Linked DNA regions of Callithrix jacchus. The protein of the gene in region 2 purifies or fractionates together with the protein of the main gene of each other region. This does not show direct contact. Links are inferred from orthologs where the notes say so. Each region holds a gene or a part of one and is shown on either strand. Other genes may lie near its edges.

Evidence for each region.
Region 1: the proteins of CCND1 (region 2) and SKP2 purify together in Homo sapiens (affinity purification with western blotting; 3 studies listed by BioGRID, with this or other methods). This does not show direct contact. The link is inferred for Callithrix jacchus from reciprocal best matches to the Homo sapiens genes CCND1 and SKP2.
Region 3: the proteins of CCND1 (region 2) and CDK5 purify together in Homo sapiens (co-immunoprecipitation; 4 studies listed by BioGRID and IntAct, counting the BioPlex papers as one, with this or other methods). This does not show direct contact. The link is inferred for Callithrix jacchus from reciprocal best matches to the Homo sapiens genes CCND1 and CDK5.

The regions. Positions count from the first base shown.
Region 1 is NC_133503.1:169,455,084-169,461,182, forward strand, and holds the end of SKP2 (S-phase kinase-associated protein 2), read right to left. Parts: coding exon of another isoform or gene 6,060-6,099; exon of another isoform or gene 6,056-6,059; intron 3,066-6,055; coding exon 2,852-3,065; 3' UTR 1,197-2,851; downstream 1-1,196. UniProt on the Homo sapiens protein: Substrate recognition component of a SCF (SKP1-CUL1-F-box protein) E3 ubiquitin-protein ligase complex which mediates the ubiquitination and subsequent proteasomal degradation of target proteins involved in cell cycle progression, signal transduction and transcription.
Region 2 is NC_133511.1:126,557,672-126,563,682, reverse strand, and holds the start of CCND1 (G1/S-specific cyclin-D1), read right to left. Parts: upstream 3,339-6,011; 5' UTR 3,256-3,338; coding exon 3,034-3,255; intron 2,342-3,033; coding exon 2,126-2,341; intron 1,636-2,125; coding exon 1,476-1,635; intron 1-1,475. UniProt on the Homo sapiens protein: Regulatory component of the cyclin D1-CDK4 (DC) complex that phosphorylates and inhibits members of the retinoblastoma (RB) protein family including RB1 and regulates the cell-cycle during G(1)/S transition.
Region 3 is NC_133512.1:97,154,469-97,160,338, forward strand, and holds the start of CDK5 (cyclin-dependent kinase 5), read left to right. Parts: upstream 1-1,923; 5' UTR 1,924-1,969; coding exon 1,970-2,006; intron 2,007-2,630; coding exon 2,631-2,719; intron 2,720-2,815; coding exon 2,816-2,883; intron 2,884-2,977; coding exon 2,978-3,038; intron 3,039-3,137; coding exon 3,138-3,194; intron 3,195-3,960; coding exon 3,961-4,056; intron 4,057-4,190; coding exon 4,191-4,265; intron 4,266-4,423; coding exon 4,424-4,520; intron 4,521-4,696; coding exon 4,697-4,766; exon of another isoform or gene 4,767-5,018; intron 5,019-5,313; exon of another isoform or gene 5,314-5,335; coding exon 5,336-5,396; intron 5,397-5,507; coding exon 5,508-5,588; intron 5,589-5,704; coding exon 5,705-5,791; 3' UTR 5,792-5,870. UniProt on the Homo sapiens protein: Proline-directed serine/threonine-protein kinase essential for neuronal cell cycle arrest and differentiation and may be involved in apoptotic cell death in neuronal diseases by triggering abortive cell cycle re-entry. Interacts with D1 and D3-type G1 cyclins.

The DNA.
Region 1 (6,099 bases), on a different chromosome or scaffold from region 2:
ATAAAAGCCTCTGGAGCAGTTTCTCAACACTGACACTATTGACGTTTTGTCCAAACAATTCCTTGTTGTTGGGGGGCTGTCCTGTTTTAGGAAGGTTAGCAACATCCTTAGCCTCTATTGCCTATATGCCAATAGCACTTCTCTTGTGATCACCAAAAATGTCTTCAGATGTTACCAAATATCTCCTGGGTCAGGGGAAGTCACCCCTGGTCTAGAGCTTTTGTTGCTAGATCTAACTATGAGTTTATGGAAATAGGGGACACCTTAACCTATCACTCCAGGGATAGATGCAAAATCCAGAATGTGGAACACAGAACAGATAACATTTTCTTTAATAAATTACAAGGAAGAAATCTTATGATTAAGATTTAGAGAATTTAAATCAAATGCAATGTGTACACCGTGTTTAGGTTTTGAGCAAAATAAACCCACTGAAGAATTGAGGATTTTTCAATATCATCTTGATATATAATGCTTCAGGATTCATGCAGGAGAATCCCTATCTTTTAGAGGTCTATACTGAAATAGGAAATTATGGGACTGGGTTTTGCTTCAAAATTACCTGTGTTGGAGGGGAATGGTTGAGATCATGGATAAAGAGAGATTGGCCAGGAGTCAATGATAGTTGAAATTGGATGATGGGGTTCATCATATTCTTTTTTTTTTTTTAAACATATTTGATGTTTTTCATCATTAAAAACAAGGCATAACGGTGATAATGTAAAAGGAATCACCATTCTACCATTCGAATGGAAAGGTTCAAAAGGAATGGAATTCTTGAAGGACCTCTGGGCACACAATGAACATTCAAATAGTTTCTGAATGACATTAAAACACATAGTATAGTCTGATCAAATATATTTAAAAACTGCTACTAGCTGACTTTTATTGATAGTACTTGAGTATCACCTTTGTCACTTGAATTCAAATGTTTTTGTAGATACATTACTACTGGATGCACTTTAAAGATAATGAGCCTGTATTAACCCCTTTTCAAAAAGCATTATAAACTATCATTTTTTTTTTTTATGTGACAAGCATATAAAGTAGATGGGTCGAAAAGGACCATCCCAGGGCTCTGTTTTGAAGGTTATTATTTAGAGGCCTCTATGGCATACCACACTAAATGCTTTCAAATTTTAATCACAGTACTTAAAATAAGAGAAAAAAGGAATACAACTTAGCTTAAGTACTCATTTTTATAAAAATGTGTTTTATTATTTTAAAACAAGTCTATAAAAGTAGAAATCACATACAAAAATACAGATTACTCTGACATGTTGGCAAAATAGCTTATGGCTGGACTTGAGTTTGGAAGTTCTGTATGTTTGAGGGCATCCGGATGTCAGAGTCCAACTGAATCCTAACCCCAGCTCTTGTCACTAATCTGTAAACAATAATTTCAAGTAGTATTTAGCACTGTTTACTAAGAAATTTAAGCATAATCATTTCCTGTGTAACCCAACTTTAAAATCTTCCTTAGGTCTAAGCAGATTAAAGCACTTCATACTATGTTTCTAACGTTAACAATTTTTGATTAAAAAAAAAGTTAATACAAATGATGGGTTTTGGCTTTTCTTGGCGTTACATTTTGAACCTAAGAAGAAGTCAATTTAAACTAGTTTTTTGTGATTTTTCAGAAGTAGAACTTAATCTTTTCACTTCTATGTACCAGTTTATAAAAAATATCACGGATGGTATCAAAAGGTCCCACATCTGGATTTTAACTCTTACATAGGTATAAGTAGTGCATACTACTGAAACTGCATGAAACATATACCTGCTTCTATTGTATATTTCTGATTGAAGGGAGTGCAGTTCCTCGGACTTTAGGTCCGATACCCTTATAAATAGATAGTTTCAAACAATTATTGGTGAGAGATCATTAAAAAAAAAAGAATTTAAAATACTTGATTTTAGAATACAAAAGTAACCTTAAGAACCTCAGCGCTAAAGGAAAACAGCAGGCAACTTCAGAATTCTTCCATCCAAATGTTCAAGAATAGAGACTAGATTAATAGCACCTTTCTAAAACAAAGCAAGTCATTTAAAAATCTTAAAGACCCATGTTCACATAATTTGATTATCAAGTTAGAAAACAATTATATTTCTCATCTAATTTAGAAGTCTGGAAACACAGTAACTTAATGAACATTATGAGATACTTCAAATTAACCTGTCGTAGAAAGCTGTCTCCTGGGCCTTCAAATCCTATACCAATTCTATACCTCTGGTTTTTGTAATGTTTGGTCTTTTGTAAGTTTTAAGGTGAATTAAGTGGCTACTAATTTCTATTAACATAATTTCAAATCTAAAGACAAAATTAAAACGCATTTTTCTCTTCCTCATTACCAGAAAAGATGGCCTCATATGCTACTATCCTATGATTCTCTTTTTGTTCATCTCATAATACAAATAGCTTATTGTTCTTCTAAGCTGTCTTATAAAGCAATACTATAAAATTAAATAGATAAAACTTATATAAGCTATGAAGATTGTTTGCTGGTGGTAATTTTTAAGCTTGATTCTTAATAGACTTAATAAGAAGGGTACTTGGAAAAGGTGGCTCAAATTTTGCTCTTTAAGGTATCTTGAAATTATAGGCTCACTCTCCCAAGATTTCAAAAGGCCTACAACTTTGGCTCTTAAGAGCAAAGCAGTGATAGAAGCTTTTAGAATCATTTCAAAAAGCAAGATTGCATAGTTTTCCCTCTCAAATGGTTCCCTAATATACTTGCAGAATGAAGGCAAAGGGAAAACCAAGAATAAAACTAGCTAAGTACTCCATCAATTGGGCTTCCTGCCTACTTTCCCTGTTCTAAAGAAGAGACACCATCCTGCAATAAATGCTTCAGAGACAACTGGGCTTTTGCAGGGTCAGTCGGCATTTGATGCCCCATATCTCCTGGTTCTTTTGGTTGTCAATAGTTGGCCTAGCAATGGTGGTGAAATGGGAGCAATTAATCTGTAGATGAGGAAGGGCTTCCTTTAACAGTTGAAGGGTACCATCTGGCACAATTCCAAAAACTTGTAGTGTTTTTAGTGTGGGAATTTCTCCAAGTTCACTGGAAAGGAAGAAAAGACTTTTAGAATAGCAGTATCTATGGAAGCTGTTTGACTAGAGTTATATGACCCAAATTTTACAATTTGTATCATCTACAAAATGCAGTCTGAAAATACAATTTATAATAAATGACTTGAGAAAATAGCAAATTAAACTGGAAAGCACAGACCATATAGCTTGAGCAACATGGTTTTAGGAAATGCACTGGTGCATTTTATTGAATGAGGCTCCTAATAACCTTAGAAACTCAGGTTTATTTAAAATCCAACCATATTTGCTTCCTTTCTCCAGCTGTCATTTATACAGTGATCTGAATGGGGTTACTGTGTTGTGAGAAGAAACTAGCAAGCTAGTGATGGTAAAAAGCAAATGTTTTACTGAGGTGCCAGTTGTAACCACCAAAGGTTACATGCAAATTAAGGATATAAACTTAACCTTTATGTGAACTAGGCTCACCTCTCAAAAGGAGATGTTATCAGGATTCATGAACTTCTTAATAATGGTTCATAGTCAACAAGTCCATTCTGTGTGATGAAAACTACCACTGACTTCCCTAAGATACTTTAGATAGGGTTAGGTAGTTGGGTACAGGTGGAAAACATGGGTGAAAAATCACATCCTTTAAGGAGGCAATAGCCATCTTACCTCTCTACGTATTATCATTTTTTTTCTGCATAGATAAGCCAGTCCCTTTAGGTATTTCACATGAGTTGAAATTCAACTCTGTTAACAGTGAAATTCTGTTTTACAAAAAAGGAAACCTATTTCTGCGAAGTAAACACTGTGTGGTGTTGGTAATGATGTTTTTCTTCTTAACTCAGATCTATGTGCCTAGAAATTCACCTCTCTGATCTGTATTTGCTGAAGGTTGGGACACACAGTACAAAGTCTTGGGAAAGGGAACATTTATTTTGGAATTTCAACAAAATCCTACCACAGATCAATGAGCACATCCATGACCTAGAGTCAGAAACATCCTTTGTATTTTCACATTGTCAATAATTACTTTTAAAAAAGCCCCAAACTTGCCTTACAATAACTGTCACCTGACCTTCAGTCTTTCTTCTTTCTAGCCTATTCTACATGCCAATTTCCAAGGCATCCTCCTAAAGCCTAGCTCAGATTAGTCATTCAACTGCTCCAAAACCTTGGATGCTTCCCTGTGTTTATAGAACCCAGGCTGTTCAGCTAGCCTGAAGACCTTCTGTGTTTAACCTGCTCTTCCAGTCTTCCCATGGCTCCCCTAAATGTATTTTACATTCCACAAGGTGTCTCAAACCCCACAAATGTTTATTATACGTTAGCTGAGTACAAGATGAAGGCTAATTTATAAAATAAAAGAACTCCAAATGAAATAAATATACTTGTTCACAAGGGGACAATAAGATCTAAAGGTACAACCAAAGAAAATCAGAAAGAACAAATTGTCATTCTTTAAGTAAACTGCTTTCTGGAATGTAGAAACGGTATCAAGGTAAGATCACAGTACACAGATGTTTATACTTATCACTTATAATGACAGCAATCCAGCTCCGACTTTGAATCCCTCATGTGAAATTTGAGAAATGTTATGAGAATTCTGGTTCTGGGATATCCAAATTAGCCAAATTGTGAGCCATTCTGCACTGGAGAATATTTAAAGGAAGAAACTGTAGGAGGAAGTAAGAAAAGGAGGAATGGCAGATGGCAGAGGAGGGAATGTTCTTGCAACAGCATTGGGAAAGAGATTTGGTGAGGAAAGAAATTAAGAGCAGACTCTGAGAACACACTCGAGTGTTATATATAAGAAGGGGCTTATATAAGATAAGACATAAGACGATGGATGAAGAACCAGTTCCCAAGTAAAAAATCCAGAAAGTCTCTAAAATTTTAAGGAGAAGACAAAAAATAAAAAATGCCTCCTGCTTTGTGCATTTCCTACAACCCAGAATAAAAACTTTGCAAGCATCTTTTAAAAACTACAGTGGAGAGACTGAAGAGCAAACTAAGGAATAGTAAATAGAAATAAGTAGCTCAAGAGCCATTATTTCTAATGTAAGAAGTATAAAATGACACCAATGTCTTCTGTTATCTTGAATTTTAGAAAATAAAAGATTTATGATCTCTTTCACGGGATTGTTCCTTACCTCATCTATATAATAATTTTGTTTTTCTTATAAAATCTTAAAGGCCTCAACTACAAATGCTCCTACCACAGAAGTTTTTTACTCTTCTGTAATCTCAGATTAGGTTTACTACCTCCAGCTTGGGTTTCTTACTTGAATGAGAAATAGGGAAGAATTAGGAGGAGTTTAGACACAGAGGAGAAGACCAATTAAGAAGGGAATAAATACAATGGGAAAGGTCCTGGGGAAGAAAAATTTACAGTTTCTCAAGTATTAAAACATTACTACAGAAGAAAGACATTCAAATTGTATTTTCCCACTTTCTGAGAAACAAATAGCCTTAAGTTCTTTAGCATAGATGGTTCTCTGGAAATTCTTACTGAAGCATCCTGGAATTTTTACTATAAACCTCAAATACATCAGCTGCCAAAATGATTGAAATTAGTCATTCTAATTCTCATTTTATCTTGAGAAACTTTTAAGTATCAACAAACTCATCTTAAGGATTCACAATGCAAATTAGTGTACAATTTACACAATGCCTAAAGAAATATACTCTTTAACCTTAAAGTTCAAGGACAGGATCTTTCTTCTTGTCTATTTAGTGGTCTGACTTGTAACTAAACTCCTAATGTCCCTGTTTCTCTTATTTCATAAGATTTGTACATAAAAGAAATAAGAATGCAGTGAAGGTTCACAGCTAGTTCTGTGACTTCAGGCCCATGTTTGTAACCATCAATTCACACTGCCTCCAGGTATTACCATGCGATTATTATGCAGGTATTACAATTACTGTTACTATTATCCCACTGGATAAAAATATTAAAATGAAGAGCTCACAGCCTTCCCCTTGGCTCTGCTTGAGAAAAAGCATTTGGGTAATTACCTGCTTAGCTTCTTTCTGCACAGGAACAAAAGCAAGACACATGG
Region 2 (6,011 bases):
GGAGCACTCTGCAGGGGTGGGTGCCCTGGCCTCCGGCCCCTCACTCGGGGCCCACCCTGGAGCAGACTGAGAGCAACTGGGTTCCCAAGTGTCCCTCTTCCTTTACCCACCGCCGGGGGCGCCTTCACAGACAAAGCGTGTGCAGTAGCGGGGAGGGCGAGACTGCACCTGCCCCCTGCCTCCCGCCAACACCCAGGGATCCTGGGAGGGGAGCTCAGCCGCTGGAGCCACCCTGCAGGGAAGCTGTGCAAGGACGGCACCCACCACGTCTCCAGAAAAGTGCATTTCTCTGAAGCCACTTACAGCTCCATAAAAGGCTGCGTGGAGTCTCTGGAGGCCTCTCTCCTCTGAGGAGCCCCAGCCAGAGAACGCCTCCCTGTCTGCTTCAGGACCACCCCCACCCCTCAGACCCATCCAGGCTGGACGGCATTCTTGGCATCTTCATCTGACCACTTTGGGGACTTGCTTGGAAACATGGGGGAGGGTTTCCTGCCCCAAGCAGGTGGAGGAGGTGGGGGAGCTCTCACGCCGAAACCAGAAACCATTCTGGAATAATACACTAACTGCTGGCTACCTGTGTCAGAGGGTGCGCTGAAATAGGTTTGGGGGGGCTCTGCCCTCAAGGGATTGGGGGAGAAGATGCTATTGTGTCTTTGATGTCCCGGACCTTGTGGCCTGTCACCCAGAGTGAGCCCACAAACAGATGTGACAACTGAGGCTTGACCAAAAGGGGGCAGGGCCCCCCCATCAGGGTAACCAGGGAAGGAGGCGCACAGGGGGGTCAGAGGCAGGGCTGGGGACAGCAGGAGGCAGCACCCTGTGTATGCATGTGTCTATCCCAGTTGGGTCCTGGGGCCAGGGCCATGCCAGCGGAGGTGAGGACTGGGTACTTCTGCTGCCCACGGTGGCGGCCTAAGCTGAGACTGCTCTGAAGTGCTCCCCAGGGCTCAGCTGAGCCCAGCAGACTGGCGGCACCCCTGGCAGGGCCTCAGGCAGCTGAGCTCCTCTGCTGGACACCCCTGCACTCAGCTGCCCAGAACACGTGGTGCAGGCGGGCCGACAGCTCTCCCCGCCCCCGGAGGCGCCTCTGGCAAGTCGCCCAGCCTGGGAGAGGCCAGGAGGGGGCCCCCGCAGCTCAGGCTCCTTAAGGACACAAGAAGGGCTGGAGGTCGGTGGGGAAAGGAGGCGGCCCTGCGGCCAAGGTAAACCCCTTTCGGCCTGGAGGATGAGGCCACAGCATCTAGACACAGGCAGGCTGGCTGCGTGGTGGCGCGGCCGTAAGGGCAAATCCCCTTCCATCCAGCGCAAACAAGCCAGCACCTCTGCTCACCAGAGCTGGAAGAACTCTTCCCAGCGCAGGCGGGGGCCTAGGGACGTCCTCCGGGACAGCACCCAGGTGCAGAGCAAGAAGCTGGCCAGGCCACCTAAGGTGCTGGCTTTCAAGGGGAGGCTGGGGGCGGCTGGGCCTGCCCTACCTGTAGCGCAGAGGGCAACGAAGGTCTGCGCGTGTTTGCGGATGATCTGTTTGTTCTCCTCCGCCTCTGGCATTTTGGAGAGGAAGTGTTCGATGAAATCGTGCGGGGTCATGGCGGCCAGGTTCCACTTGAGCTTGTTCACCAGGAGCAGCTCCATTTGCTGCGAACACAGGGTGAGCGGCTATCAGGGGAGGTGCGGGCCGGCCTGGGGACGCGGGGAAGCCGGCAGTATGGCCCTAGCCCCTGAGTCTCGTGTGGTCCTGGGGGTGCGGGAGCAGGACTGGCGAATGCTGGGGGGTCCAGGAAGCTGGGGCAACACACGATCCCAGATCAAAACAGAAAAGGCGCCCGCCGCGTGAAAAGATTCTGCAAGTGGAAACAAAAAGACTTCCCACCACCTGGAACGGAAGGCTCAGCGTGGAGCGCGGCGTTCCCGGTGCAGCCGCTGGAGGGCGCGCGCCGCCCATTTTTCGGCCACACCGCAGAGCGCTAACGAGGTGGGAGTCGCAGGCAAGCGCGCACGGGGCGGCTAGGATCCCACCCGCTCCCAGGACGAGGACACCCGGCAAAGGGGCCGCCTGCCGCCCCTGCACCTTCCCCGGCCCGGTGGTCCTGCGGCTCGCGGGGGGCGGCGGGGGTCCCGCGGTTACCAGCAGCTCCTCGGGCTGGATGGAGTTGTCGGTGTAGATGCACAGCTTCTCGGCCGTCAGGGGGATGGTCTCCTTCATCTTAGAGGCCACGAACATGCAGGTGGCCCCCAGCAGCTGCAGGCGGCTCTTTTTCACTGGCTCCAGCGACAGGAAGCGGTCCAGGTAGTTCATGGCCAGCGGGAAGACCTCCTCCTCGCACTTCTGCTCCTCGCAGACCTGCGGGGGCACGGGGCCCGTGACCGCCGCCGCCAGGTCGCGCCACCCCCACCCCACTCCCCCGCCCTCGCATGCCCATCGCGCTCGGCAGGACCACCAGTTCTGGAGGGCGCCGAGGGGTCGGGGCCGGGGGCGGCAGAAGCTTCCTGTGATGCGCCCCCTCTCGCGCGCGTCCCGAGTATCCACCCTCCCTGAAACTGAAAGGGAAAGTCCCCGCGAGGCTGGCATGGTGGGGGCGGGAGCGGGCACAGCTGGGCGGCGGCGCGGGCTGCAGGCCCCGGGGACCCCAGCCCGCCCTGGAGCTCCGTGGCCCCTCTGGCTGTGGGTCGACACCCACTGGGGTGCGGGGCCGCGCAAAAGGCCGCGGGGTTGGGCGCCGCGCCTGCGAGACACAAAGGTGGCGTCCCAGGCCGCCGCGCCGCATTTCCCCAGACGTCATCTTTTCAAAAAATATTTAAAAATATTTAAAAAATAACTAAGTGCGTAAAAATACCCTGAAAATGACCCTCGGACGGCCCTTTACCCAGGCCGGGGGTCGGGAGTTTGTTACAGGGTCCGGGGGAAGCCCCAGGAATTCAAACTCCGGGGACCCCCTTCCCCCTGGGCGCGGGCGGTGTTTCCCTCTCGCAAGGGCACCACGCCGCACTTTCAAAAATTATTTAAAAATACTTGCGGGCCCCTCAGGCGCCTACCGAAGGTGTGAAAATGTTCTCCCAGGCCCCCGGCTCGCTCGGAGAAGGTCCCCCAAGCCGAGATCCCTGCAGACGGGGATCCAGCCCTGGCGTCTTGGGGGCCACGCGACCTTGCAGCTCGGCGTGCTCTCCGGCCCAGGCTGCCCGTGCGGGGCGCTTTGGGACTCGCTGCTTGAACAAAGGCCCCCCTTTCCCCAGCGGGGTCCCCCCAAAACTACCCATGCTGCGTCCCCGCGCCCCTCCCGCGGGCTCCGGGCAGCCGCCGGGCCCCTAGTTGCGGCCCCAGCGCCCGGCGGCCGCTCCCCGCCCCCACCCTGCCCCCAATTATTAATAAACACTTTTGCTGTGCAATAAAAGAGCAAAGATGGCGCATAATACTGGCACGAGAAGCCCTTGCATACGTGTCCATGGATAGTAATTTAAAAATCAAATCTATGCCCCCTCCCCCCGGAGTTGGAGGCTCTCGGCCGCGGCGGCCGGGAGAGGAGCCGCAGCATGGCTGGGGCGCAGGCGGGGGGCACAAAGCGCACCTAACCTGCCAGCCCGCACCCTCGGGCCCATTGGGGTGCTCCTGGCACTGGCTTCTCCTGGAGGCACCCCTCCCCGACCCCCTCCTCCCGTCCCAGGAAACGCAACTCCTAGCACCCCCACCCCCACCCCTTCCTTCTTCAGAAAATACCCACAATTTTTATTTTGAAAATACCTAGCAACACCCCGGCAAACTTCAAAGGTCTAGCGGGAGAGAAGAGAGGGGAGTGAGAAGCAAAGAAACGTGGGTATGGGCAACAAGTTGCAGGGAGGTCTTAAGAGAGCCGCCCGAAGCCCCGCACCTCCAGCATCCAGGTGGCCACGATCTTCCGCATGGACGGCAGGACCTCCTTCTGCACACATTTGAAGTAGGACACGGAGGGTGCGCAGGTCTCCTCCGCCTTCAGCATGGCCCGCAGCACCCGGTCGTTGAGGAGGTTGGCATCGGGGTAGGCGCGGCGGATGGCCTCCACTTCGCAGCACAGGAGCTGGTGTTCCATGGCTGGGGCTCTGCCTGGGCAGCTGGGGAGGGCTGTGGGTTCCGGCTGCGTCCGCGCTCGGCTCTCGCTCCTGCTGCCCCGCGCTCCCTCGCGCTCTTCTGCCCCTCGCCGGAGCGCGCGGACTCTGCTGCTCGCGGCTACTGCGCCGACAGCCCTCTGGAGGCTCCAGGACTTTGCAACTTCAACAAAACTCCCCTGTAGTCCGTGTGACGTTACTGTTGTTAAGCAGAGATCAAAGCCGGGCAGAGAATGGGAGCGGGAGGGGGCGGGGGCGGGCGCAGGGGGAGGGGGCGCGGGCGCCAAACGCCGGGAGCAGCGAGGGGCAGAGCCCAAAAGCCATCCCCGAGGCGCCGCGCCTGCCCTGCGGCGGAGTTGCCCCCGTAGTCCGGTTTTCATAGAAATGCAAATCGCCCCGCTGCAGCCTTTCTCCCCGCCAGAAAAGAGGGGTACAGGGGGCCCGGTCCGACTCGAACGGGTCCCCCGGGATTTGGGGGTGGGGTGGAGGTGGCTCTGCAGTAGGGGACAACTGGGAAGCCCCACAGGCCACACGCAGCCTAGGGAGACCACGAGGAGGGGGGACTCCGGGGCGCGGCGACACCCCATATCCAAGCCGGCAGAATCGGCGCATTTCCAAGAACGCCACGAGGGCACCCACGAGCGGACAGACGGCCAAAGAATCTCAGTTTCTGCATCTCCTTTCATTTTCATTAACACGTGTAAATTTCAAGAACTATTTAGCATGCAGGGACGGAGGACAGGGCACACCACCCAGTGCACTTTTCATTTCGGCTCACATGGGGGTTGTTGTAAATGCCCAAGGGGGTAACCCTAAACATTTAAGGGATTTCAGCTTAGCACGCGTTCGCTCAAAAAATAAAATAAAATAAATGCCCGAAAATTCCAGCCGCAGCCCAAGATGGTGGCCAGCATTTCCTTCATCTTGTCCTTCTAGCCTGGAGACTCTTCGGGCTGTCTTCCTACCTTGACCAGTCCATCCTCGCGGGGGTCCCCAGATGCACCCCCTCCCTTCCGGTGCCGGCAATTTAACCGGGCCAAACACATCTCTGAAAGGACAGCCGAGGAACAGTGATCTCCGTCCTGACTCGTTTTTTAATTAAAAAAGGAATTAAATTGCTGGAAATATTAGTCGCCTCTGCCTGGGACAAGACCGCCGGAAGGTTCCTAATTGGTTTTGTTGGGGGTGTAGACGTCCTTTCACCTTTATAATTTGCCCCGGGTCTGCACTGGCGAGCGTGAGGGGGCTGGCAAGGGCGGGCAAAATAAAGGACACTTATCAATTAAACAAATGAGTGTACTGATCTGATTTTTAACAAAATCGATAGGCGTTCGTGGTTATATGAGAGGGTCCCCAATATTATCGCAAAGTTAAGCAAGTGTGAATTAAAATACATGGTGTTTTTTTTTTTTATTACAGGTTTTGCCTCTTTGGTGCATTTAAAAAAAGGACATTTTACTGTCTTAACTTTTTTGTTTTGTTTTACAATACCTGCCCCTAATTAAGAAAACTTCATTTACTTCCTTCTCAATATAGTTTAGTGTCATCAAACCACCGTATCCTCTTAACAGTAAAAGCTCAAAGAAAAGTGATAGAAAAAGTCCCCTCCCCTTAGCCAGGGTGCTCACAGCAAGATTCGACCCCCTCCCACCCCTACCTTTCAGGGCGAATTCCTCTCGCGCCCCCTCCCCCGCCCGGAACTAGGATTACTAATATTTCGGGTTCCGGGGGGGTAATTACCCCTAGATTGCGCATGGGGAGCGGTAGGTGACCCCAGCAGGGAGCACCCACCGACGTGCCTCCCCACTCCCCGGGCACCCACAATCGCGTCGGCCCCGGTATAGCCAAGCCTCAGAGCATCCGCCCGCGCACGAGGGCGGCCCAGCTGCTTTTTCATTCATAAAATCCGGACCTGGCGGCCGCCTGGATGATTT
Region 3 (5,870 bases), on a different chromosome or scaffold from region 2:
CCGGGGGTCTCGGGGTCTCTCCCCGTCCTCCGGCGCCCTCGCGCGCTCCCGACGACTGCCCCGTGCCCACCCCGGGGCGCGCCCCCGCCTCTCCCAACTTCTCCCAACTCAACTTTCCCCCGCGCCTCGGGCAGGCCAGCCCCCTGCGTGCGCGCCCCCCGGCGCACCGTGCGCGGCCCCGCCGCGGCTGCTGGGGAGGAGGGAGCGGGGGCCGAGAGCAGGGGCCGAGGCGGGGGCGCGCTTCCAGGCACAGGCCGGCACTAGGAACCGCCCCCGCGTCCCTCTGCCCTGAGATTCTCTACTCGGGGCTCAGGCGTCCGGGGGATTCCGTCTCTTGGCTCAATTACTGCACCTCTGAGTGGAAAAGATCCCGCCTCGCGCTGGGGATTCCAGGCAGGAAAACGCAGGCACAAGGATGGCCAGGAAATTCGGGGCGGAGGAAGTCGAAATAGAAACGTACCGGGGTCGAGATTCTCTTCCGCCCCCCGCTCTCAAATAACCCCCGTACGTCCAAGAAAGTCCAGTGCCTCCAAGAAAGCCTCAGGTGGCGAGCGGGTGAGAAGGGTGGCTGCCCAGTACCCGCTCAGTACCTGAGCTGACCTGGGAGAGGGCAACTTGTTAGGCGCCCCCCCCACTTCCTGAGAGGGACAGAGATTCCCTGTGGTGGCCTCCTTACTCTTGAATGGAACCTTCACACTGAATCAACCCTAGCCATAGCCATCATTTATCATTCAAGACCTTTGTGTGTAGTTTTTGTTTACCCAACGAAATCACCAAGTCTTCCAGATAAGGCATATACTTTTCGCTTCTTTTCTCCAGTCGGCCACGTGAAGCATAGCATTGTGTATGCAAAAGCGTTCAGATAAAAACGAGTTAGTTAATACGTGTTTGGCAGCAACTCTGATTCCGATGCTGAGGAGCGCTGTTTGGGATCCTTTTCCCTCAGTCCATAGCCCTCAAGAATGCAATCATGAGACAATTAGAGAGGCAATGCAACGGAATCTATAATCAACTCCTTTAAGGGATGAGGTAGAGGCTGGTGCAAGTTGAGCACCTGTCTGTGGTCTTGTCTGTGGAGGGGGTTAACCAACCTGCCGGCCACACCCTGGCTGACTCCAGTGGGCCCTGCTCCGGAGACTGGGGTCTAGGGAGACCCCCCCCCAGGGCTCCACCCAGCTAGCCTCAGCATATCAGAGTTCAGCGGCTGGAGTCGAGTGAAGGCTGAGACAACAAACGGGGTGCAGCGGAGAGAAGGGTCTTTGGAGTGTACCCCTTCACTAAAAATCCAGCCTCAAAAAGGCACACCTGTTATATTTCCAGCCCTGCCGTCAGCTGTTCCCTGTGAGGTCATCATCGCTCAAAGGCACTCCCCAGTCAATCTTGGGGTCACTAGGTGGCTTGGGGAGAGGTGGAAACCTGTGCTGAGGTCGTCAGGAGGCCGTCGGGAACTCAAGGCCACCAACAAGGTCAGAGTTGGGCCGCCAGGGCCCGGGCTCTAGGCCGCCAAACGCCAAACCCCAAACCCCTAAGGGACAGCGCTCCGCCCCCATCCCCGCTGCATTCTGGAACGCGTAGTCCCGGAGCGGCCCTTTTCAAGAGGTCTGGGAACACATAAAAGAAATAACAACAGCGGGGCACACTGGGAACCGCAGCGCAGCGGCGGGGCGCCCGGAAAACGGACACGCGTGGCTCCCTGGGACTTGAAGTCCAGGGTTTGCCTCCGCGTTGGAACCAGAGCCCGGGAGTCAAGTGCTGCAGAGAGCCTGAGCGCAGCCGGCTGGGGGTTGTAGTTTTCTTGTCCTCGGCCTCGGGAACTGCAGGGAAACCTTGTCGTCTTAGGACTACAAGCCCCAGAAGGCCGTGCGCGGGCAGGCGGGGCGGGGCTGGAGGCTGGGGTACCGCCTCCTCTGCAACGCCAGGGCCAGAGTCTTAAAAACCGAGGGCCCGCAGGGTCCCCGCGGCCGCCGCGATGCAGAAATACGAGAAACTGGAAAAGATTGGAGAAGGTAATGGAATCTCGAGATGTTCCTGCAAGAGCTCCTCTGCATACCCTTCGGCATTCCTTGCAGCCCTGGCTTTCTTACCGTCAGCAGTACCTACAGGCTCCGACCTCAACAGCGGCTGCAGCCCTGGCCCCCCGAGCTCAGCACTCCATCCAGACACCAATCTTCCCGTGTTAGCATTTCCCGTAGGCTCCCACTCCAACCTTAGCGTTCCCAGTAGACCCGACCTCCCAACCGCGACACTTCCTGAATTTCTCACCCTAGCCTCAGCACCACTTGGACAACCTCACCCCGACCCCCAGCCTCGGTTCTTGCTGCAGACCCTCAGTCCTCTCCCAGACACCTCCTCACTATTTCCAGACCCTTCATTATAGTGAGCACTGCCTTCATTATAGACATCCTTGCCTGGCAGCCGCAGTCGTCCTGCCGAGCCCCTGGAGCCTCCGCAGGCACCTTCTCCCTCCCCACCTGCCACATCCTCACTCATAAAGCTCTCCCACCTGCCTTCACCCTGAATCCCTTCCCTTGCACACTCAGACGCTGCCTTCACCTCCCAGGGGGAGGCATTTCCTGGGTTAGGGAAGAGTGCGCCATCCTCTCCCCTGACCCCTGACCTCCTTCCCCTAGGCACCTACGGAACAGTGTTCAAGGCCAAAAATCGGGAGACGCATGAGATCGTGGCTCTGAAACGGGTGAGGTTGGATGACGATGATGAGGTAGGCTGCGGACTGGGATAGAGGCTGGGGAGGGGGTTGAAGGCCTGGGCTGGGTGGGATCTGACTGTTGCCCACCTGGCCCCCTCACACATGCAGGGTGTGCCGAGTTCAGCCCTCCGGGAGATCTGCTTACTCAAGGAGCTGAAGCACAAGAACATCGTCAGGTGTGCGGGAGGTGTGGCTGCTTGGGGGAGGTGGGGGCTGACCTGGGACATTTGTCAGGAAGACGTGCCTGGCTGAGCCCTTCTTTTGCCCTAGGCTTCATGATGTCCTGCACAGTGACAAGAAGCTAACTTTGGTTTTTGAATTCTGTGACCAGGTGAAAGGCGGGATTTGGGGGACAGTAGCCTTGGGAAGGTATAGGGGCCCAGACTGAGGTTAAACTCTGTCCCATTCCTCCACTCATATCCCTTTTTAGGACCTGAAGAAGTATTTTGACAGTTGCAATGGTGACCTCGATCCTGAGATTGTAAAGGTGAGGAGAGTGTTGGGGGACCCCTCAGGCTGGGGTCTAAGTCTGCCTTCAGTGTAAGCACTCCTTGGGCACCAAGTTTGGGCCCTGAACAGGCACGCTCTAGGGTGTCAGAGGAAGAGAAAACCCTGTTTCTGCCCCGCAGGGGCCTCCTAGAGAGCATTTTCACGTGGTTGTCTTTGACCTGCACAGTGGCTCTCAGACACCAATCTGGCCACATTAGAGGGACATCATATGATGTTGACATCAGTAACATCAATGATATTTACACCCGAGAGATGAGAAAATGAGGTTCAAGGAGATACATTCATTCATTCAACACATACTTACTGAATGCTTCACTGGGTGTCAGGTGCTTTTCTGGGCCCAAGATCAAATGCCTTGGTCCAGGTTCCAGGAGAGCCAGTCCTGAATGATACTACACCATGATATTGATGTGGATGGTCATGGTGTGCATACTCAGATGCATCCAGGAAGGGAAGATCATGGGCTGGGATCTAGGCAAGATCTAGGACCCACTGGGCAAGGCCCATTAGGCTGTATGGTTCAGGAAGGTGGGGACCAGGGCCAGCTTGTTTACTGTTGTCCCTCAAATGCCTAGCACAGTACAAAGCAGGTCCTGGATGGCAAATGAATGGTGTCACTCTGAGCCAGGTGCTGGAAGGTGGGTGGAGTGTAGTGAAGCACAGGGTGAGGAGAGGAGCCGGCCAGTTGCTGGCCACAGTTATGTTCAGGGTGTCTGACTCCCTGCTCCCTGCTCTTCCCCCAGTCATTCCTCTTCCAGCTGCTAAAAGGCCTGGGATTCTGTCATAGCCGCAATGTGCTGCACAGGGACCTGAAGCCCCAGAACCTGCTAATCAACAGGGTACTTTTGGGAAGAAGGTGGGGAAGGGGAGGCTAGGACCAGGGCCTGGGGGAACAGGACTGGGAGGATGGAGCCTGTGCTGCCCCAAGGCTGCTCAAAGGCCCTTCGCCATGTTCCCTTTCCATTCCCCTCAGAATGGGGAGTTGAAATTAGCTGATTTCGGCCTGGCTCGAGCCTTTGGGATCCCTGTCCGCTGTTACTCAGCTGAGGTGAGCTGGCAGCTGGGATGTGGTGTTGAGGGAGGGAGCCCCTCAGCTCCTACCCCAGGACCCAAAGCATTATTTTCCTCTCCTCTCTGAGCTTCCTCCTTGAACCTCCTCCCCAGCCCTCTAAGTGGGAGGTCCCTGTCGGGGGGGGTCTCCTCCAGGTGGTTACACTGTGGTACCGCCCACCGGACGTCCTCTTTGGGGCCAAGCTGTACTCCACGTCCATCGACATGTGGTCAGCCGGCTGCATCTTTGCAGGTGATGTGCTTGGGCACTGCAGAGGCACCTTCTTTCCCATTTGGGTTGACAAATAGGATCTGGAGGGTCTCTGCTGGGGAAAGGAAGGGAGGCCCTGGGACGGGCTGGAAGGTCAGGAGTCCCTCAGAGTGAGGGGTCCTTCACATGTCACATCTTAGCCCCTCTCTTTCCTCCAGAGCTGGCCAATGCTGGGCGGCCTCTCTTTCCCGGCAATGATGTTGATGACCAGTTAAAGAGGATCTTCCGATATCCTTCCATTTTCCTCTGCCTCGAGCCCTCTGGGAGGGGAGAGCCCATGGAGTTTTAGCGCAATGGGCAAGGGCAGTGATGATATGGGGTGGGATGGTGGGGTCCATAGGGCTTCTCCTGAGGGCAAGGGGAGAGAGCAGGCGTGCTGGACGCCCTGATGGTCACAGAGCATATGCACACTGGAGAAGGTGCCACTTATAGGATGGGCAGTGTGCCCTGGGGGACGAAGTCAAGAGGATGTCCCTCCAGGTGAGAGACGGATGCCAGGGTGAAGGAGCCCAAGGGAGCAGGGACACGTTTTGTGGGAGTGGGGCAGGACTGGTTCATGAAGACTAGGCCATCAGCATGTGGGTTAGACTAGTTAGCGATTGTCATGGGAACCGGCTGGATGTGTGAGTGACATGCTGGGGCTGCTTCTGTCAAGCCCAAGCCGGAGGGTAAAGGGAGGGTGAGAGAAGAGGGTGGTGGGTATGAGGAATCCCTCCCAGGAGGGGAAGAAGCCCTCACCTGTCCCTGAAGATGCAGCTGTGACCCTTTCCCCAAGTGATCCTTGACCCTGTGGACACGCTGCTGGGGACGCCCACCGAGGAACAGTGGCCCTCCATGACCAAGCTGCCAGACTACAAGGTGTGATGGGGAGTAGGGGGTCATGGTTCATCAGGGTCCCTCTTATTTCACATTCCTGGCAGCCTCCACCCCTCCCCTACCCCTGGTCTGCCCCTCCCTGCCTCTCCACAGCCCTACCCGATGTACCCGGCCACAACATCCCTGGTGAACGTCGTGCCCAAACTCAATGCCACAGGGAGGGACCTGCTGCAGGTAGGTGACCAGAGGTAGAGGGTGGGGCAGGACACTTGTCCAGAGGGACTACAGGAAGGCAAGGCTCTGGGCAGTGACCTGTCCTGAACCTGCCACTGCCTTTCTCCCATCTCCAGAACCTTCTGAAGTGTAACCCTGTCCAACGTATCTCAGCAGAAGAGGCCCTGCAGCACCCCTACTTCTCCGACTTCTGTCCGCCCTAGGCCCTGGGACCTCTGGCCGCCAGGCTGGGGCCTGGCCTATTTAAGCCCCCTCTTGGGAGGGGCAGGACAGTGGGGGTAC